Linked DNA regions of Elephas maximus indicus. The protein of the gene in region 1 interacts with the protein of each later gene in a biochemical or structural test. Links are inferred from orthologs where the notes say so. Each region holds a gene or a part of one and is shown in the gene's direction. Other genes may lie near its edges.

Region 1 (7,116 bases):
ATGAGATGGATTAGTGGCAGTTATATTGATGAGATCTACAAGATTAGATAGTGCCTTAAGCCAATCTCTTTTGAGATATAAAAGAGAAAAGTGAGCAGAGAGACATGGGGACCTCATACCACCAAGAAACCAGTGCCAGGAGCAGAGTGTATCACTTGGACCTGTGCGGAGAAGCGCCTAGTCCACAGGAAGATTGATGAAAAGGACCATCCTCCAGAGCCGACAGAGAAAGGCTTTCCCTGGGGCTGATGCCTTGAATTTGGAATTCTAGCCTACTAGGCTGTGAGTGAATAAACTTCTGTTTGTTAAAGCCATTCACTTGTGGTTTTTCTGTTATGGCAGCACTAGATGACGAAGAAAAACAGGCATAGAGAAGTGGATGAAAGAATGGTGTGATCAGATAATAAATCAGAGAATGCTTCATACTGAGGCCAGCCTATTCTTAGGAGGGGCCCTAGCAGAGGGCTATTGGCTCAGGCTGAGGGTCAGCCAAAGTTTAGGAACTTGAGGTAACGAAAGAAGATTAACCCCAAGTTTGGTTAATAAGCATTGTGTTCTGACTGATCAGTGGGGACAAGTAGCTCAGCTAATTGTTTACAAGGCAAAGGATGGGAATGTGGAAGGTCTGTGTCTGGCCTCGTCACGGGTAAACAAGGGGGCATCTCTGAGTCTTCCCCCACCCCAGCTCCCCCCGCCCCCCAGCTTCTGCCGGGCCTAATCTGCTCTTTTATATCTCAAAAGTGATTGGCTTAAAACACATCCTACACTGATATGACCTTATTAAAATAACAAAGAAAACTCCATCCGCACACAGAATTACCACCACAGGTATTGTTGTTAGTTGTCATCTAGTTGATTCTGACTCCTGGTGACCACATGCGTGCAGGGTAAAACTGCTCCATAGGGTTTTCAAGGTTGTGACCTTTTGGAAGCAGATCACAAGGTCTCTCTTCTGAGGCAACTCTGGGTGGGTTTGAACCGCCAAGCTTCGGCTAGTAGTTGAGCTCTTAACCACTGATGCCACCCAGGGACTCCTTTCCACAGATATGTTGTGTGCCTTCAAGTCGATTCTGACTCATAGCGGCCCTATATGACAGGGTAGAGCTGCCCCATAAAGTTTCCTAAGCTGTAATCTTTACAGGAGCAAATCTTCTGGTCTTTTCTCCCATGGAGCTGCTGAATAGTTCAAAGTTCCGACCTTTCAGTTAGCAGCAGAGCACTTAACCATTGCACCATCAGGGCTCCTTTTCCACAGGTACACCAAAAAAGCAAACCTGCTGCCGTCAAGTCGATGCCAAGTCATAGCGATCCTATAGGACAGAATAGAACTGCCCCATAGGAATTCCAAGGCTATAATTTTTATGGAAGCAGACTACTACATCTTTCTCCTTCGGAGCAGCTGGTGGGTTCAAACTGCCGACTTTTCAGTTAGCAGCCAAGTGCTTAATCACTGTGCCACCAGGGCTCCTCCCGTAAAGAGTGAATTTGGAAGTAGATCCTCTCCCACTCGCCTTCAGATGAGAACCCAGCCAAGGTCTCTTGTGAGAGACCTTGAGGCAAAGGTTAAGCTGTGCCCATATTCCTGACTGTGATGGTTAATTTCATGTGTCAACTTGGCTAGTCTATGATTCTCAGTGGTCTGGCCAGATACTGGACGTGTTGCTGTTCCCTATTGCAATGTATAATGGTTAAGATTGTGTGTCAACTTGGCTGGGCCATGATTCTCAGTGGTTTGGCAGTTATGTATGAAGTAATGTGGAAGTTATGTAATGATGTAGTTATCCTCCATTTTGTGATATAATGTTATCACCTCCATGATATGATCTGATGTGATCAGCTAATCAGATGTAAAGGGAGTTTATTCAGGGGTGTGACTTGCATCCAATGTTGTTGTTGTTGTTAGGTGCTGTTGAGTCGGTTCCGACTCGACTCATAGCAACCCTATGCACAACAGTTTGTCATACTGTAGGGGCTTGTGTGTTGCAGTGATGCTGGAAGCTATGCCACCGGTATTGAGATACGAGCAGGGTCACCCATGGAGGACAGGTTTCAGCTGAGCTTCCAGACTAAGACAGACTAGGAAAAAGGACCCGGCAGTCTACTTCTGAAAAGCATTAGCCAGTGAAAACCTTATGAATAGCAGCGGAACATTGCATCCAATATATATGGATATTCTGGCAAAGCTCACTGGCTTTTGGATCCTACATCTGGCTTGTCATAATCTGATCTCTGGTTCTTAAGACTTAAGCCAGCAGCCTGCTGTACTGTCTGCTGATCTTGGGATTGTCAGCCCCTGCAGCTATGTGACTCAGGAGAAGCCTGCAACCTGATGCCTGACCCATGGACTCGGGTCTTGCCAGCCTCTACAACCATGTGAGCCATTTCCTTGAGATAAATCTTTCTCTGTCTCTCTCTCTCTATATATACACTCATTGCTGTCAAGTCAATTCCAACTCACAGTGACCCTATAGGACAGAGTAAAACTGCCCCAAGGAGGAGCCAGTGGGTTCAAACTGCTGACCTTTTGGTTAGCAGCAGAGCTCTTAACCACTGCACCACCAGGGCTCCAACATTAACTGTAAGTCATTAGAAACGTGTTAAGTCTTAAGAAAGTTATTTAGAAAATTTCTGAACTTAGACATAGAAACAGAAGTGTGTGAAGTATGGGAAGAACGTAAACAACCTTTAAGTTCATTTGACCTGGCATGCTGTGACACAAGAAAACATAAATCTAAACAACCTCCCCAATCTTGAACCTTGAAGAAAAGATGTGTCACTTGGCTACTCTCTAACCCTAAAGAAACGGCATTACATACTAGTCTTTGATGTCACTGTGGTGTCAAGGTGACAAATTCACTTATAAACTCCAAGTTTCTGCTCACTCACTGAGCGAAGGCAGAGGCGGAACTGAGATTCTGTCCACTGCCACCGACCTTGGACCCTAGCTACTAGCTACGAGGGGCCCCCTCCACTGAGTTCTTGCTGTGGTTAAGCCTTCCTCTCGAGCCCTCTCATTAAAGATAAAAGAATGAAGTCTAAAGATCTGGACTCTAATCATTGAACTAACATTGTAACCGTTAATTCTGAGTCTCTGGTTCTAAGTGAGTGTTGTGCAGTCTTGCTTGCATGCCTTGCCTTGACTGCCTTGCAATAAACTAAACGAGTTTATGCATGACGAACCTGAGAATCTATTTATTTTCTAAGATTCCTACAATCCTACACACACAGCTGCCAACAAAGCAGCCTAGCGCTTAACCATCGTGCCACCAAACAACATGCCTCAGAAAACAAGCTTTTGTTGAAGGGATCAACCTCTCTGAGCCAGCTGCGTCTTCTATGTTGCTGTTGTTAGGCACCATCCAGCCAGTTTCGACTCATAGCAATCCCATTTACAACCGAAGGAAACACCGCCCGGTACTGCGACGTTGTTATCCTTGAGCCCCTTGTTGCCCCTTGTTGTGTCAATGCATCTCTTTGAGGTCAGTGAAAAAGAGAAAGAAAAGAGGTCTTCCTCTTTTTTGCCGACCCTCTACTTCACCACGCATGATATTCTTCTCCAGGGACTGATCCCTCCTCCTGATAACATGTCCAAAATATATGAGACAAAGTCTCACCATTCTTGCTTCTAAGGAGCTTTCTAGCTGTGCTTCTTCCAAGACAGATTGGTTTCTTCTCTTGGCGGTCCATGGTATATTCAATACTCTTTGAGAACACCATAATCCAAAGACGTCAATTCTTCTTCCCTCTTCCTTATTCATTGCCGAGCTTTTGGGGCTTGAAGGATTGAAAACACCACGGCTTGGGTCAGGCCCACTTTAGTCCCTAAAGTGACATGCTTGCTTTTTACCATAACTTGACCAGGACGCGCAGCCAGTAGGTGGAGCTGGCGCTCCTCGCACCCAGACCCTGCCCCAGCTCTCAGATCTTTTGCGGTCAGTGTAGCCCGAGGGCAACCCTGGTACACGACCCGCAGGCGACCTCTGCTCCCGGAAGCTGCGGCACGGCCCGCGGCCGACGGGGGCGGAGCCGGACTCACTGGCCCACCCCACGCGCGCCAGCTGGACGCAAGTAGACGCCGTGACGTCATCACGCCATATTCATTATTCACGGCGTTTCCCGGGCTCCGGCGAGTCACGTGACACCACTTTTGGCGCGAAACCGGCGGTGGCGGGCTTAGCGGAGAGGAGCGCGGCGCTACTATGGCGGTGAGCTGTAGCGCCAGCGGGGCCCGGGCGTGCGGGTGGTGCCCGTGGGGCCGGCGCGTTTGCCCTGGGGATCGGCCGTGGCGTGGGGCGGCGGGGACCGGGGCGAATGAGCCGTCTCCGCCAGGCTTGCACGTTTACACGGGGGGCTGAGAGCGGAGTGGGGCGGCTGGGGGCCGGTGAGCACCAAGAACGGACACGGGAGACTCGGGGGAGTTGTGCCTTCTAGTCCCCTGGTGTCGCCCTCCTCAGGCGCTGCCATACTTCAGTCCTGGGTCAGGTCCCCCAGACCGAGGCCTGGCCCCTGGTCTCAGGTTTGGAGAGGCTTCTCCCCTCTCTTCCCCTCTGACGGGGTCTGAAAGGCACGGGGGCGGACGTTCGAGTCCGCCTGGCGCTCCCCGTTCCCCGCACCATCCTGGGAGCGCTGAACTCCGTGAGCGAACTGCCTGACCGAGCTCTCCAGTGCCCGTGCCCTGTCATTTATTCATTTCGCATACGCTTCTTGGGCACCATCTGCATGCCTGGCCCAGGGTATACACCAGGCCACTAGGTCTCTGCATCTTCATGCACTTTCTGTTGTAATATTTTCTTGACCTTTTCTCTTGCTGACCACCCCCTGCACCAGCCTGTGGCTCCAGACTGGTTCCAGCAGGGTTCCAGCTCCTGGCACGTTGTGGGTGCACAAATGGGTGGAATGCATGATTAAGGGGGAGCAAGTAGACCATAAACAGGTAACTAAACAAGTGACAGCCTCAGTGATTTCTCGGGGAGAAACGCAGGGCGATGTGAATTCTGGAGCAGCCCAGGCTCAGGGCGGACGTGCCAGCAGAGGGAACCGCAAGTACAGAGGTCTTGTGTGGAAGAGGTTTGATGTGTTTGAAAACGGTGTCACTAGGTCTGGTGGAGAGGGAGGCTGAGAGGAGAGGAGATGGGAGAGGTCACCCCTCATGATAAAGGGAAGCTGTGTCGGCCCTCACCTGGCCATCTGTGACAGCGGCATCTTATCTTCCAGGAATCATCGGAGTCCTTCACCATGGCGTCCAGCCCGGCCAGGCGCCGCCGAGGCACTGACCCTCTCACCTCCAGCCCTGGCCGAAGCTCCCGGCGCACTGATGCCCTGACCTCCAGCCCTGGCCGAGACCTTCCTCCCTTTGAGGATGAGTCTGAGGGGCTGCTAGGCACTGAGGGGCCCCTGGAGGAAGAAGAAGATGGAGAGGAGCTTATCGGAGATGGCATGGAGAGGTATTTTTATTCCAGGCCAAGGGAGACAGGTTCATGGAGCTACAACTCGGGTCTATTTAACATACTTTGGTGTGTCTAACTTACAAAGACTAGACCCTAAGGCCTGGGTAAGCCTACCTGCATGAGATCAGCACCCAGGAAATGCAAAGGGATTTCTAAATTGGGGGCCGCAACTTGGAAAGATAGGAAGCAGCAGTCAGCCAAGTGTGTTTCTCTGCAACTTTTCAAAGAAGCAGTGTATGTATGGGTCTGATTAATCAAGATTTAGCGTCAACCTGCAGACATACTCTGTACCAGGCCCTGTGTTAGATACTTCCACACTTTTTGTCTCACTTAACCCTCGTAAAAATAAACATACCGACATGTATTAAAGGCCGTCGGGACTTAGTATTCAGACACAGTAGAGTCTGCAAGTGAGCAAGGTTAGATTTTTGCTCCTTCCCTATTCTGTATTCACAACTGGGATTTGGTGGAGACTTTAGTGGCAGAATTGTGTGCTCTTTCAGGAGCCTCGCGTAGATTATCCTTTGGTGTCTTTCTTTACCCTCATTCAGTGGTCCCCAAACTTAGAATGAAACTACTGGACAGGCCATTACACAACCCTGGATGGTGCCCTCTGTGAGCCATGGGAGGGATTTTCACAAGCACTCTTAAACGTACAGGAGTTTTGCTTTCATCACTACATGTAGAACCTACCTCACAGGTGGTACAAGTATAGGACTTGCCCGACGAGGAAGGAATGAGGACCCTCTGGATCCATCAGTCCTGTGCTTAGGCCAGGATGCCAGGTCTGGATAGCTCCCCGCTCTTGACGGTGGTGGTGTTCAGGCAGGAGGTGCCTGCCACCCACCAACCCTTCATTGGCTGTCTGTATCTTGACCCTTCTCATTCTCTTCAGTGATTCTGGAGAGAGAGAGGCCCTCATAGGTGGCCTCTGGGCAGAGGTATCTGAAGACTAAAACTAAATCCATTGCCATCGTAATGACCCCGTAGGACAGAGGAGAGCTGCCCCCATTGAGTTTCCAAGGCTGTAATCTTTACGAAGCAGACTGCCGCGGTTTTCTCCCGCAGAACAGCTGGTTGGTTTGAATCACCGACTTGGTTAGCCAAGTGCTTAACACTGTGCCACCAGAGCTCCTTATTTGAAGACTAGCTGGGCCCAATTTGGTTTTGTTGTGTGTGTGTGTTAAACTGCATTATTGAGGCGTAATTTATATAATAAACTTCACCCCATGTAAACATACTGTTCAGTGCTCGTTAGTAAATTTGCTGGGTTGTGCATCTCCACCACCTAGTTTTAGAACATTCCCATCATCCCAGTAAGATCCCCCTTGCCTGTGTATACAGTTAATCCCAAGGCCTATCCCTACCCCCAGACGACCGCTAATCAACTTTCTCTCTATAGAGTTGCCGGTTTGGGACATTTCATACAAGTGGAATCAAACAATGTGGAATTTTTTGTGTCTGGCTTCGTCCACGTAGCATAACCTTGTTGAAGGTTCATCCGTGTGTACCATATATCAGAACTGCATCCTTTGTAATGCTGAGTAATACTTTATTGTACGGATAGACTACGTTTTATTCATTCATCACTTGATGGAGGCTTGGGTGGATACTGTGAAAATATTAGTGTAGTGTGCTTACGAAAACACCTCAATACCTTGGGGTGGAG
Region 2 (7,970 bases), on another chromosome or scaffold:
GGATGGTTCAACATTGGGAAAACAATTAATGTAATCCACCACATAAATAAAACAAAAGACAAGAATCACATGATTTCATTAACTGGTACAGAAAAGGCATTTGACAAAGTTCAACACTCATTCATGATAAAAACTCTCAGCAAAATAGGAATAGAAGGAAAATTCCTCAACATAATAAAGGGCATTTATACAAAGCCAACAGCTAATATCACCTGAAAACATTCCCCTTGAGATCGGGAATCAGACAAGGATGCCCTTTGTCACCACCTTTACTCAACATTGTGCTGGAAGTCCTAGCCAGAGCAATTAGGCTACATAAAGAAATAAAGGACATCCAGATTGGCAAGGAAGAAGTAAAAGTATCTCTATTTGCAGATGACATGATCTTATACACAGAAAACCCTAAGGAATCCTCCAGAAAACTACTGAAACTAATAGAAGAGTTCAGCAGAGTATCGGGATACAAGATAAACATACAAAAACCAGTTGAATTCCTCTACACCAACAAAAAAACATCAAAGAGGAGATCACCAAATCGATGCCATTTACGGTAGCCCCCCAAAAGATAAAATACTTAGGAATAAATCTTACCAGAGATGTAAAAGACTTATACAAAGAAAACTACAGTACACTTCTGCAAGAAACCAAAAGAGACTTACATAAGTGGAAGAACGTACCTTGCTCGTGGATAGGAAGACTTAACATTATAAAAATGTTCTACCAAAAGTGATCTATACATTTAATCCAATTCCGATTCAAATCCCAACGACATTCTTTAATGAGATGGAGAGACAAATCACCAACTTCATATGGAAGGGAAAGAGGCCCTGGATAAATAAGGCATTACTGAAAAAGAAGAAGAAAGTGGGAGGCCTTACTTTACCTGATTTTAGAACCTATTATACCGCCACAGTAGTCAAAACAGGCTGGTACTGGTACAACAACAGATACATGGACCAATGGAACAGAACTGAGAATCCAGGCATAAATCCATCCACATATGAGCAGTTGGTATTTGACAAAGGCCCCAAAACAGTTAAATGGGAAAAAGACAGTCTTAACCGTCTTTTTTAAACAAATGGTGCTGGCATAACTGGATATCCATCTGCAAAAAACTCCGTGCACAAAAACTAACTCGAAATGGATCAAAGACCTAAATATAAAATCTAAAATGATAAAGACCATGGAAGAAAAAATATAGACAACGTTAGGAGCCCTAATACATGGCATAAGCAGTATACAAAACGCTATAAAGAATGTAGAAGAAAAACTAGGTAAGTGGGAGCTCCTAAAAATCATCCAAAGACTTTGCTCATCCAAAGACTTCACCAAAAGAGTAAAAAGATTACCTATGGACTGGGAAAAAGTTTTTAGCTATGACATTTCTGATCAGCATCTGATCTCTAAAATCTACATGATACTGCAAAAACTCAACTGCAAAAAGACAAATAACCCAATTAAAAAATGGGCAAAGGACATGAATAGACACTTCACTGAAGAAGACATTCAGGTAGCTAACAGATACATGAGGAAATGCTCACGATCATTAGCCATTAGAGAAATGCAAATCAAAACTACAATGAGATTCCATCTCACTCCAACAAGGCTGGCATTAATCCAAAAAACACAAAATAATAAATATTGGAGAGGATGTGGAGAGTCTAGAACACTTATACACTGCTGGTGGGAATGTAAAATGGTACAATCACTTTGGAAATTGATTTGGCACTTCCTTAAAAAGCTAGAAATGGAACTACTATACGATCCAGCAATCCCACTCCTTGGAATATAAAACCACCACTGCCGTCGAATCGATTCCGACTCATAGCGACCCTATAGGACAGAGTAGAATAAGAATATATCCTAGAGAAATAAGAGCCTTTACAAGAACAGATATATGCACACCCATATTTATTGCAGCACTGTTTACAATAGCAAAAAGATGGAAGCAACCAAGGTGCCCATCAACGGATGAAATGGATAAATAAATTACGGTATATTCACAATGGAATACTACGCATGGATAAAGAACAGTGAGGAATCTGTGAAACATTTCATAACATGGAGGAACCTGGAAAGTATTACGCTGAGTGAAATTAGTCAGTTGCAAAAGGACAAATATTGTATAAGACCACTATTATAAGAACTTGAGAAATAGTTTAAACTGAGAAGAAAACATTCTTTTGTGGTTACGAGACGGGGGAGGGAGGGAGGCTGGGAGAGGGGCATTCACTAATTAGATAGTCGATAAGAACTACTTTAGGCAAAGGGAAAGACAGCACACAATATAGGGGAGGTCAGCACAACTGGACTAAACCAAAAGCAAAGAAGTTTCCTGAATAAACTGAATGCTTCGAAAGCCAGTATAGCAGGGGCAGGGTTCTGGTGACCATGGTTTCAGGGGACATCTTGGCATAATGAAATCTGTTAAGAAAACATTCTGCATCCCACTTTGGAAAGTGGTGTCTGGGGTCTTAAACGCTAGCAAGCGGCCATTTAAGGTCCATCAATTGGTTGCAACCCACCTGGATCAAAGGAGAATGCAGAGCACCAAGGATACAAGGTAATTACAAGCCCAAGAGACAGAAAAGACCACATAAACCAGAGACTACATCAACCTGAGACCAGAAGAACTAGATGGTGCCCAGCTACGCTGCCCTGACAGGGAACACAACAGAGAACCCCTGAGGGAGCAGGAGAGCAGTGGATGCAGACCCCAAATTCTCATAGGACCAGACTTAATGGTTTGACTGAGACTAGAAGGACGCCCGTGGTGATGGCCCCCAGACCTTCTGTTGGCCCAGGACAGGAACCATTCCCAAAGCCAAGTCTTCAGACATGGATTGGACTAGACAATGGGTTGGAGAGGGATGGTGGTGAGGAGTGAGCTTCTTGGATCAGGTGGACACTTGAGACTATGTTGGCATCTCCTGCCTGGAGAGGAGATGAGAGGGTGGAGGGGGTTAGAAGCTGGCGAAACAGACATGAAAAGAGAGAGCTGAGGGAGAGAGCTGGCTGTCTCATTTGGGGGAGAGTAATTGGGAGTGTGTAGCTAGGTGTATATGGGTTTTTGTGTGATAGGCTGACGTGATTTGTAAACTTTCAGTTAAAGCACAATAAAAAGTATATATATATAAAAAATGCTGGTCCTTGGATCTCACACCCAGAAGTTCTGTTATAATTGTTCTGGGGTGCAGCCTGGGCTTCAGAATTTTTAACAGCTCCTCAGGTGATTCTAAAGTGCAGCCAAGGTTGAGCACCCGTGTTCTAGAACAGTGCTTCTCAAAATGTAAAATTCATGCAAATCACCTGAGGGTCTTTTATAATGCAGATTTTGATTCAGTAGGTCTGAGGTGGGGTCCAGGATTCTGAATTTCTTGCCTATGCCTGTTCGCTGCAAAAAGTACTAATGGGGATCAGGGGAGGGGATTACTTACTGTCTGGGGAGAAAGTGGATTAGGTAAAATAACTGGTATCTCAGTGGTGGCCTGTGCATGGGTTTTGGAGTTAGAATAATCTTAACTTTTCACACCAAAATGAATCTTTTCCTCCAACAATTTTAGCTATCCTCTCCAATGATCTTATCTCTGAAACCCCAACTTTCACCATCTTATGCACCACCCTTACCTTTATAACTCATACCTCCATTATACAAATTCTTAGATTACATACTGATTTCCAATCCATTGTTCTCCTGACTTTTATCTTTCTACCAACTTCCCTATCACCATTCCTCCTAGCCTCCTGGATTCCATGATGCATCATTACAACCACTTCCTTGTAAATACCCTGACTTGCACTCCCTCTGTGCGAAGTGTTAAATCCACCTATGTTTTCCATGTCTGCATTCTCTTGGCCTGAAAGTTACTTGAGAACCCTGATGCCAATGTCATAATCTTTCTCCCAGTTCACATTCTCACTCAGAAGATACTTCAGAACTTTTTCTCGCTCCTCCGACTTCTAATACCCCTTCCTGCCTTTCTCTCAGCTCATATTTTATTAAGAAAACTGATACGATCAGGTAAGAACTTATTTTCCAACCCATACAAAAATCACCTGCGTCTGAATCCTTCTCTTCTTTTCCTGCCGTTAAAAGGATGGTAATCTGGGTTCATTTCAAAGGCATATCCCCCTCCATGTGCTTTGAATCCATCCCTTCATCCTCCTTGATAACTTCATTCCTGTAGGTATTCCCTTTTTCTCCCACATCAACAATTTCTTTCTCTACTAGATCAATCTCTACTGTTCACCACTCCCTTCCCCCTCTAAGACAAAAACAAAACCTCAAGAACATCTTTCGTTCCTCAAAACACTCTAGTCTTTCTGCCTTATTACATCTCTGAAACTGCTCTTTCTCCTTTTTTATTTCTTTGGGGCGCTCATCACTATCTGTAAGAATTTTATTCATTTGTCATCGCCTCACTAGAATTTAGCCTCATTAAGTGTCGACTATTTTTTTTTTATTGTCTACCTTGTTCACCTGCCTACCTCATAGTCAAGCACTCAATAAATATATGCTAAATGAGCGCCAACTGTACTTATTTCTGTGAATAGTCATAAACAATCAGGAATTGGCATTTTGCGTTTGTGTATTTTTACCGGAAAGGCAGAGCACTCAACGGAAAGGAAGTAAAAGAGCGACAAAGTACACGTCTTTAATCCAGGCTGCCCATGCCTTGGTGTGGCTACGGTATGGAGAAATGTGTCAAGACTCCAGAGCCTGAGGCTTTCCTTTTTCTGAACTATAGTCTTTCCTGAAAATAGTGTTGGACCCTTAACCTAATGGTTCACTCTATTTTTTAGTAAACGATTAACCTCAGATTTTATTTCTATAATCGCTCTTCTAGCCAAGTAGCAGCTAGCAACGGCCTTGGGGGAAGAAACCTAACCTTGCTGCGCAAGCGCCTAAAGTTTTCCAGTGCGCATGCGCAATTGAAACAGCGCGGCGGGAAGTCTAGCGCAGGCGCGTTTGGCCAGCTGCTAAGTGGGGAGAGCCGGGAGCCGGCGACCCAGGCATGTGGGGAGCCACGGAAGTCGTACTCCCTTAAACCGTGAGTTTCCAACGGTTTGTTCTTTCTGAGGGACTAGAAATGAATTCGGAATTCGTGGCTAGTCTTGTCGCAGTGCAGTACCCCCACCCCTTCTGGTCCCGCTGGCCTGCGGCGGGAAAATTGCGCGTCTGCGCACTAAGCATCCGCTTCGTCTCTGGTCTGAGCGGAAGGTCCTGCCCTACTGAGCTCGCGGCCGGATAATGTCCATTCATTGCCCATTCCCTTCCTCCGCCCGCCGCTAGTGGCTCGTGGCCGTATGAGTTCTCTGCCAACTCGCGTGAGTCCCCGTACTAGCTTCCTGGAGTTCCGTCTCAGTGGTCACAGTTTCCTCCTTCAGTCCCCTTCCTCAGGTCAAACCGCTCCGGGCACCCCTTCCACGCCCAAATACAAACGTCAGCAGTTCCCCACCACCCTTCCCATCGCCGCCAGCTGCTGATGTCCCCCGACATGACATTCTCCCTTCGGCCCCCTGCCGGGATTTCTGGGAGGTGAAGGTAAAAGCAAATGGAATCCTTAGAAATAGTTCACAGTTTCTCTTTGGGGATTTGAACATACAGTGCTTTTAAATGTTTGTCCCTTTGGAGACAGTGGCATTTTTTGGTGCTTGCTTCGGTGAGTGATTTAAATTTCTCATCTTCTCTAGCATTCTAATTTTCCCAGCTGCTTTGCTACCCCTGTGGACATGACCTCTTAGCTGGCACTTTACATCCCAGTTTTGTGATGGAGGCGTCTTTGGGGATTCAGATGGATGAGCCAGTGGCCTTTTCTCCCCCGTGTAACCGGCTTCAGGTTGATGGCTCGTTAAAAAAAGATGAGCAGAGTTTTAAACTTCCAGGTATGTGTTTCATTCCAAAGATGTACTTAGAGGTAACAATTCTGAGTTTGTTGCTTTAAAAAAAAAATAACTCGAATCTTTAAAGTGAGTTGTATATTTGCGTAGGAACATTTTACAAATCAGTAAAGCTTTATAAGATCTAGATTTAGGATTGGATTGCAGTTTAGAAAGAGGATTGTAATCCTGTTTTGTCATTGTACAGATGAAGTTGCTAAAGTCTGAACAATTACCCATTGCCACCGAGCCTTTTCCAACTCATAGCAACACTATAGAACAGAATAGAACTGCCCCGTAGAGTTTCCAGTGAGCAGCTGGTGGATTTGAACTGCCAGCCTTTTGGTTAGCGGAAGAGCTCTTAACCACTGTACCACCAGGGCTCCAAAGTCTAAACGTTAGTGACTGCCTGATAACACCAAGTTTGTTAATGCCCAACCTAGAATTTGCCTCTTCCTAGACCTATGGTCTTATCTCTTCTCACTGTATTGTCTTAAGCTTGACACTGGAGGGATCTTTACTAAAGTATTCAGAGGCAGAATTCACTGACACAAATACATGAAATGTTTGTAGCAACAATAAAGCACAAAACCTGTGGGAGCACCGGCCGCACCCAGTGGTGGCTCAGTGGTAGAATTCTTGCCTTCCATGCAAGAGACCTTGGTTTGATTGCACCGCATATGCAGCCACCATTCCTGTCAGCACAGCGAATGTTTGCATGTTGCTGTGATGATGAACAGGTTTCAGCAGAGCTTCCAGACTAAAACAGACTAGGAAGAAAGGCCTACTTCAGAAAATCAGCCAGTTAAAACTCTGTGGTTCACAGTGGCCTGATCCGTAGTCAATCATGGGGATGGCACAGGACTGGGCGGCATTTTGTTACTGTTGTACATGGGCCATTATAAATTGGGGGCTGATTGCATGTCAGCTAACAACAACAATCCTAGATTTTATTGAAAAATACAGTATAATTTACTTGATTGTTAATCTATTTGAATAAAAATGTGTTCCAAGTAATATATTTTTGCTCTTTTCCTGCCACTCCAAGTGCTTTGGTGGGGGAAGAAGAAAATTATGGTCTCATCTGAACATGTCTGTTACTAAATCTGTTAAGCATCATTTTTATTGAACACCTGTACATGTTGGAAGACAATTCTCCATTAAACTGTCATGGCAGCTAACAACAATGTATCTCAGTGTGTATCATGAAGCATTGTTTGAATTTATCCCAGACCTTGGGGTGAGGAGGAGAGGGTCAAACAATATCTAGTCTTGTACACTAAAATGTTTGTCTTCATTCCTGTTTTAGCACAGTGCCTGGGACATAGTAGGCATTCAGTAAATATTTGTTAAATGGAGGAGTTCCAGTTAACTGTTATTATTATTTTTTTTTTTTCCTTAAAAGCTGGCTAAGTCTTTTCCATCTTTCTTTTAAGTGAATTTAGTGTTTGTCCAAAGCCGATTAGTTTTGGCCTTTTGTCCATGCTCAGTGTATACTTATGCTTCCTGACTGAAAGTAAGCTCATTTTTGGTCTCAAAATGAGTACATTTCGTGGGTTCCCTAATTTTGGTGATGAATCCAGGTTACCTATGCTCAAAACTGTAGAGTTGTTACGGAGTTAATGCTTTGTATTTGCTTCCTAATCTAGTTCACCCAGCATTGTCTTCTTTCTTTTTAATGTGTATAGCATTGCCTCTCCATTCCCTCTGCCACCACATTAATTCATCCCTTTATCACATTGCTCCTTAATTGTAATGAAGTTTCTTACCTAAACTGCCTGCTTTCACTTCCTTTCCACACTCCAGTTCATCTCATACACTGGTACTAATAATCTTAAAATGCCCCTTTTGTCCAGTTGAATGAATGGTGTTCCTCTTCCATTTTTCTTAAGATTACCTGTATTTAACAATTCAGCCTTATTAATCATTTGCCACATCATTGTGCACTGCCTTGTGTTGTTATTCCTGTATTTTGAATCTCTTCAATGTATACTATAAGCTCCTTGAAGACAGTGTCTCCCATAGCTACTGACTTATGTTGTGTCCTAGGCAGGGTGCAAAGGATGAATCTGATTTGGTTCTAGTATTAT
Region 3 (6,834 bases), on another chromosome or scaffold:
AGGCCATCATTCCCAGTATTGTGTGGTTGTCCTCCATTTTGTGATTGTAATTTTATGTTGAGAGGATTAGGGTGGGATTGTAACACCACCCTTACTCAGGTCACTTCCCCGATCCAAGGTAAAGGGAGTTTCCCTGGGGTGTGGCCTGCACCACCTTTTATCTCTCAAGAGATAAAGGGGAAGGGAAACAAGCAGAGAGTGGGGAACCTCATACCACCGCAAAGCAGCACCAGAAGCAGAGCATGTCCTTTGGACACGGGGTCCCTGCACCTGAGAAGCCCTTCGAACAAGATAAGATTGAGGACAAAGACCTTCCTCCAGAGCCGACAGAAAAAGAAAGCATTCCCCTGAAGCCGACGCCCTGAATTTGGACTTGTAACCGAGTAGACTGTGAGAAAATAAATTTCACTTTGTTAAAACCATCCACTTGTGGTATTTTTGTTATAGCAGTACTAGATAGCCAAGACAGTCTCCTTTTCATCTTATCCAAAGAAAAATGTGGAAAATTGACAACATAACCAAAGACTTGAGGGGAGATGGAGAAAAACTGAGAAAAATCTTAGTGGATTGCCTAGAACTCAAAATGTAGTCTCTACTGCTCTAAATTCCCTACAGCCCTATTAACATACTTTCTGCTTTCCGTCTTTTCATTCTTCAATGTGCGGGGCATTGTCCCTTCTTCAGAGAGCACATAGGCTAGTGGGAGAGACCATTCTAGCATTAATATCTTTTGGCTCTCCTGTAACCTCAGAATGTAAAGTATTTTTATGAAAGCAAATCAATCACTCCTCTTAAAGAAATGTTCTGCAATACGCTCCTCCCTCAACAACTCCCTGTGAAATTCCTCTTTTCTATGTCTCTTCTTCATTCTATATCCTACTTACCTGTTGCTGTTGAGTTGATTTCAAATCACAGTGACCATATTGGACAGAGTAGACCCTATAGGACAGTCTTTTCTTCTTGAATATATACCTTTCATCTGAAGGACTCTTTTGATTGTACATTTTCAAGATTGACTTTAACATAAACCTTATACTTTTACCAACAGACCAAATTATTGATATGCTATGTAAGGAGATTTCTACCCTTATTGGCCAAGTCCTTCTTCCTGTGGCTTCTAAAAGAATTGGATTCCAAAAGTAGTATTTCTCAAAATTAACCTCAGGTTACAGTCTACAAACTTATTAACACTATCTATTAAGGCAGACTTTCCACTTATGCATATCTTGGCATTATCACCTAGAGTGCAGTCAAGGGTATGCTAAAAGCATAGGGTACGACTATGTTACTGTCATTCCCCATTACAGTAGATAAGCAAGGTAACTCAGCTTTCACTAGAACAGAAACTAGGCTTCCGTTTTTTCTCCCCTTACACAGGGACAGGCTTAAATCTTTCCCACACCTCCTAAAACTTCCAAAGATCCGAAACTACCTTCCCCATTACTATACTTCTCTACCTTGACAAATTTTTTTGAACTGGTATACTCTCTCACTTCAAGCCCATCAGTCTTAGCTAGTTCCACCTCCTGCACCTACTGAAATTGTCACTGAGGAAACCGATAACATCTTAAACACAAAGTCAAAGGCCTATTTTTCAAGCAATGGAAGGGCTGGTGTGGAGTTCACCAGCATGACAGCACTTAACTGAGCTCTTACTCTGTGCTACGCATTGTACGAATTTAAATTAAGCTTTCTAAAATGACTCATTTGATCTTCACAACAATTCTGAGAAGTATTATTACCCCGTTTTCACAGATTAAAATTAAGGCTCAAAATTACCTAAGGCCATATAGTTAGTGAAGCCTGTATGATTTCAATATTTGCAGTTCTCTGTAGCTTCTGAAGATAAGTTTTGTTCCCAGTTCTCTGTCCTTTTCTCCATCTCTTTCATTATGCGATCATCCTCTGCTCATCGCCACTTCCCTTCTTATTTCACATGCTCTTCTGGACAATTTAATCTCCTTCCATAGTTTCAACTACATTCCATATTACTGTTTCTCAGCCTTTAAAAAATTTCAATAAACATAAAAATCCTGTGATTTTTCTGTAGTTATTTGAAAATAGATTTTTCCAAATAAAAAATATATAATGTTGAATGTTTTTTCAAATTAACCTCCTCCCACCTCTCAAGATCTGATAACTTCTTATGCATTACCCCATGACAAGAATCAGTGACCAGTCCGCATGTCTTTGAAATCAGTCTCTCAAACAATCAATCTTTCTCCCTCTCTCTGTAGCTCAGACCTCTCTCCCAAGTTGGACAAATATCTCCAACTGTCTAACTTCATGATTATCTCCCCAGGCCCTTCAACCTAAAACTGTTCAAAACAAAACTCTCATTTCCCTCAGCAAACGTGATCCACTTCTTGTGTTCTCCATTTTGGCTAAAGGTATCACAATCTACCCCGTCTTAAGGTGCCAATTTGCAAAACGATGCTACTGGCACTCTTTAACTTTCTTGAGCTGCTAAGTAAAAATCAGCTATTAAACAGTGAGTGCCTATTAGGGCCAAGAGCTATAAAGGAATGCAAAGTAGTACAATATACCATCATCGTCCTCCTTAGGAAGTTTCCAAGAAAGAACATACCACCCCCAATTGACTTTGCGTGTGTGTGAAACATTTTTCCCATTTACAAGGTACTCTTTCACAAACATTTTAATTCTTACCACAAACCAATTATGCCTGTTTTACAAACGAGAAAACTGAGACTCATGGTGATTAGGTAATTTAACCAAAGTCTCACTACCATAGCTGGGAAATAGTCGGTCGAGAACCCCAGACTTGAGTTTTCAGATTATACTCCCTTTCCATTATTGTTGACATAAACTTACACAAAATATTACGAAAACAGAAACCTGCGCACAGAAAACGTCAAAAGAGCAGGCCACAGTCAAGTGCCAAATGGCACAAATCAACCTGAAGGCGCTATGGATCGGCTTTTCAGTCAGGGCTGGGGGCCACCTGGCCGGGCCCTCGCTCCTACACCCCTTTCATCCTGGGAAGTCCCTCCGCAGCCTGTCCCTAAGTCGGAGGGCTCAGAGGCAACCGCGGGAAAACTACGCTCTGCAACCCGAAGCGCAGATAGTAGGGCCTCTCGCCATCCGGCTCCGGCTCCGGCTCCGGCTCCGGCCCCGGCTCCGGCTCCGGCTCCGGCCCCGGCCCCGCCCCGGCCCCGGCTCCGGCCCCGGCCCCGCCCCGGCTCCGGCTCCGGCTCCGGCTCCGGCCCCGGCTCCGGCCCCGGCCCCAGGCTGAGTCTGGGATCGGCCGCAGCCACAGTGCGGCTTGCCTCTCCGGCATCCGACCGGTGGGAAATGAGCGTACCTGGTGGAGGAGGCGGCTGGAGGGCAGGCGATCCAGGCAACTCTAAAAAATGGGAATGACCCTGGCGGCAGCCTGGGAAAGTCTCCAACGCTAACCGCATTCACTAGGGTTAGTCAATACGCAGCCACCAGGACTCCAGAAGGCTGCGCGAGGACCCGGCCTGCTGCACAGAGGACATCGCACTGGGGGACGAGAGGGGGCGGAGACGCGACCCGTGGGGGCGGGGCGCGCGGCGCGAGGGGGCGGGCACGACAGGGGCGGGGCTCGGGGAGCGAGAAGGGGGCACGACGGGGTCGGGGCGCCAGGTGAGCGGAAGCGGGCAAGAGTAGGCGGGCACAAGAGGAGCGGCCGCGCGACCCGAGGAAGCGGGCACGAGAGGATCGGGTCGAGTGCCGCGAGAAAGCGGGCACTACGGGGGCGGGACAAGAGGAGACGGGCACGTGGGGGCGGGGCGCGGCGCGCAGCGTCAGGGAGGGCGGGGCGCGCGTATCGGCGCCGCGGCTGCGTGACGCGTTTTCAAATCTTCAACCGCCGCAGCCCACTCGCTTGTGCTTCGCCCGTTTCTCTTCCGCGCCTTGGAGCCGGATTCGGCCTTGGAGGCCCGGCCCGTAGACGCGGCATCTCTACTGCGAGGTGGCCGCTGACCGCGGAACGAAGGAAGTAGCGAGCCTGTCACAGGACCGAAGGAGCCGTGTTTTCCCGGCAGTCCGGCGCGACACCATCTCCGGACCCAGCATGTAGGTGCCGGGTGGCTGCCATGAACTCCGGAGCCATGAGGATCCACGGCAAAGGACATTTCCAGGGTACGAAGCCCCTCCTCCGCCCGCAGGCCATTTAATCCTCTTCTTCCTTCAATGACTCCACCATTGATCCCTCAGAGTTTTCTTGTCCGGTCCACTTATTTTCTTTTCCAGCTTTTGCGGCCTTCCTTTCTTCTTTGTGGAGACGTGGCCTGAAGGAAGGCTCCGTTCAAGGTTTTGCCACAGAAAGGGTCCGGGGTCCGGCCCAGCCCGTGCGCCCTCCATGCCCAGCAAGCCCCAGATTCCGGGTCTTCGGTTGGTTGTAAAACTAGGGAACGATGTGCGGACCCCAGAACTTGCCGGGGTACTGCGGTGCCTCCTTCCCGGCCGTCCCACAGACGCTGAGACTCGGCTCAGGCCCTCTGAAGCTGCAGACTCAGCCCTCAATTTAAAGACAGACGTGTTTGTGGCTTTTCACTTCATGAACAGATTGGGGTGATTGTGGGTGGATTTTTGGTCTTAAGTTTATTTTTCTTCGCTCTTAAAGGTAAGCGGAAGTGTATTTCAAACACATTGTTTCCAACGTTATGGACAAATAGGAAACAAAAGTGCGTTTCCATTTTCCATCACTTATTTGGTGAAACATTCCAGTCTCTAAGTTTTTCTTTTTTAATATGTATATGAATTTATGAAGAGATTGTGTTCTAAAAGTTAATTTTTAAAGCATTTCCTTGAATCTCAGTTTCGTTTTCAGTGGAAATAATGAAGTGAATGGTGACTGGTTCTTGCACTGACCCTTAATAGTTCATAATACACAAACTGTATATGAAACTAAAACTCCGATAGTCATGAACCCTTGAGGACAAAGTCATTCTGGGTAACAGAAGTTTTCTGCATAACTAAGTGTTTAGTACTTTAAGTGCAAGTTTTGAGTGTTCAACAGAAGAGCAGATGCTCAATAAATATTTGTTGCATGAATACTCATGGCGTTCACATTCGAAGGAGGAAAATCTTTGTAAAAGGTTTTTTATAGTTCTGTGCCTTAGTGAAAAAAAATTTCCTGCTGATCGAGACTTTTCTGTAAATAAATAATTATTTAATAATAGAACATTTTCTGTTTGCATAAAACATGATCTAATCCTAAACATGTTTAATAACAGGTGGAATCCAAGTCAATAATGAAAAAAACAGACCATCTCTGAAGTCTCTGAAAACTGACAGCAACAAACCAGAAAAATTCAAATACAAGCCACTTTGGGGGAAAGTATTTTACCTTGACTTACCTTCTGTCTCAATATCTGAAAAACTGCAAAAAGACATTAAAGATCTAGGCGGGGTAAGTTAAAACCACACACTTTGACAAACAAGGAAAAAAATTGTAACTAGTACTTTTTAATGTAATACGCAGTCATTTAAAATCCTCACTTTGAAAAACTTGTAAAAATCTGTCAGCCCAAGCTTAAACTTTTTATCAGCTTCTTATTATTGCTGGGAAAAAAAAAAAAATTAACTTTTGTAGCTTGACAAAACTTTCAGATCTCTGTCGTTTGTAGCCTAGTGTAAAGTTCCCAAATTTTGAGAAAGGAGACTCCCTTATCCTAATGGAACCGCCGATTATCTTACTGTAATGTCGGGATGCCCTCCAAATGACAAGAACTCCTTGATTATGTTTATTGGGGAGCTGCATAAATTTGTATGGAGTAGTATAACAGTAAGTATGTTACTACAGGACACAGAAGACCAGTTCAAACCACAGTGTTAAAATTGCTTTTGAGGGATATTGTCTCAACAGAATGAATGTCATTAAGGGAACAATTTTGAATTAAGAACCTGAAAAACCTATTTATTTCCTACATTGCACATTGATTAGATGATTATTGCTGTTGTTAGGTGCTGTGAGTCGCTTTTCAACTCATAGCAACCCCGTGTGACACAATAGAACTACCCCATAGGGTTTTCTAGGCTGTAATCTTTATGGGAGGAACCCTTCAGTTAGTAGCTGAGTGTTTAGCCATTGTACCATAGGGCTCTTTGTTTAGATGATTAGGAAATTATAAAACATGGACAAAATTCTCAGATTTTTCTTAGGACCTGGGTTAATATTGGGTGAATTTTAGTAAGTGAGGCTGTTGTGATTTTATTAATTTATTTCTTATGTCTTTCTGTTTAAAAGATTTGTTTCTGCTGGACTGAGTTTCTTAAGGTCACCATCTTTGAATAAAAGTTTTCTGAATAGAGTCTGTTGTTCGCAGACTAGAAGTTTGAACAAGAATGTGTAACAAGTTTCTTGAAATTTTGTGTTGATGTGATATTTTACTTATCTATCTTTGAAAAGTTATTCTAACTACTTTTTTGCTATTCATTTTGTTAAACTAAAACATTGTCACAGGCTTGTATAATAGTTGCATGTATCATAATGACCATATGGCTGCATTCCTAAAGGTCATGTTTTATAAGCCTGGCACCATATTGACTGTACCACCTGTCAGGAATGTCTTAATGTGTTCAGGACCTTAGACATTGAGTAAAGACCTTTTCATTTTAGAAATGAAGTACCGAGGTCCAGAGAAGTTAAATGGCCCCATCACAGCATGATTAATCTCCTAATTCCCAAAATAACATACCACTGCTCCATTCTGTTCCTTTAGCTACTAATGGTACAAAGTAGCTATTTAGTATAATGTGACAGATTTTTCAAAAATGATGAATTACTCTTTAGTCCTTCTTGTCTAAATCAGTGATTTTTAAACTTGTGTTTTTAGCAGTGGAACC

Evidence for each region.
Region 2: of the proteins of MCM2 (region 1) and CDC7, one has a biochemical effect on the other in vitro, tested with the Homo sapiens proteins (8 studies listed by BioGRID). The link is inferred for Elephas maximus indicus from reciprocal best matches to the Homo sapiens genes MCM2 and CDC7.
Region 3: of the proteins of MCM2 (region 1) and DBF4, one has a biochemical effect on the other in vitro, tested with the Homo sapiens proteins (3 studies listed by BioGRID). The link is inferred for Elephas maximus indicus from reciprocal best matches to the Homo sapiens genes MCM2 and DBF4.

The regions. Positions count from the first base shown.
Region 1 is NC_064838.1:43,133,358-43,140,473, reverse strand, and holds the start of MCM2 (DNA replication licensing factor MCM2), read left to right. Parts: upstream 1-4,115; 5' UTR 4,116-4,199; coding exon 4,200-4,205; intron 4,206-5,214; coding exon 5,215-5,444; intron 5,445-7,116. UniProt on the Homo sapiens protein: Acts as a component of the MCM2-7 complex (MCM complex) which is the replicative helicase essential for 'once per cell cycle' DNA replication initiation and elongation in eukaryotic cells.
Region 2 is NC_064821.1:150,943,269-150,951,238, reverse strand, and holds the start of CDC7 (cell division cycle 7-related protein kinase), read left to right. Parts: upstream 1-4,953; 5' UTR 4,954-5,051; intron 5,052-5,079; exon of another isoform or gene 5,080-5,545; intron 5,546-5,694; 5' UTR 5,695-5,771; coding exon 5,772-5,886; intron 5,887-7,970. UniProt on the Homo sapiens protein: Kinase involved in initiation of DNA replication. Phosphorylates critical substrates that regulate the G1/S phase transition and initiation of DNA replication, such as MCM proteins and CLASPIN.
Region 3 is NC_064826.1:57,941,062-57,947,895, forward strand, and holds the start of DBF4 (protein DBF4 homolog A), read left to right. Parts: upstream 1-3,817; 5' UTR 3,818-4,079; coding exon 4,080-4,125; intron 4,126-4,491; exon of another isoform or gene 4,492-4,609; intron 4,610-5,222; coding exon 5,223-5,398; intron 5,399-6,834. UniProt on the Homo sapiens protein: Regulatory subunit for CDC7 which activates its kinase activity thereby playing a central role in DNA replication and cell proliferation. Required for progression of S phase.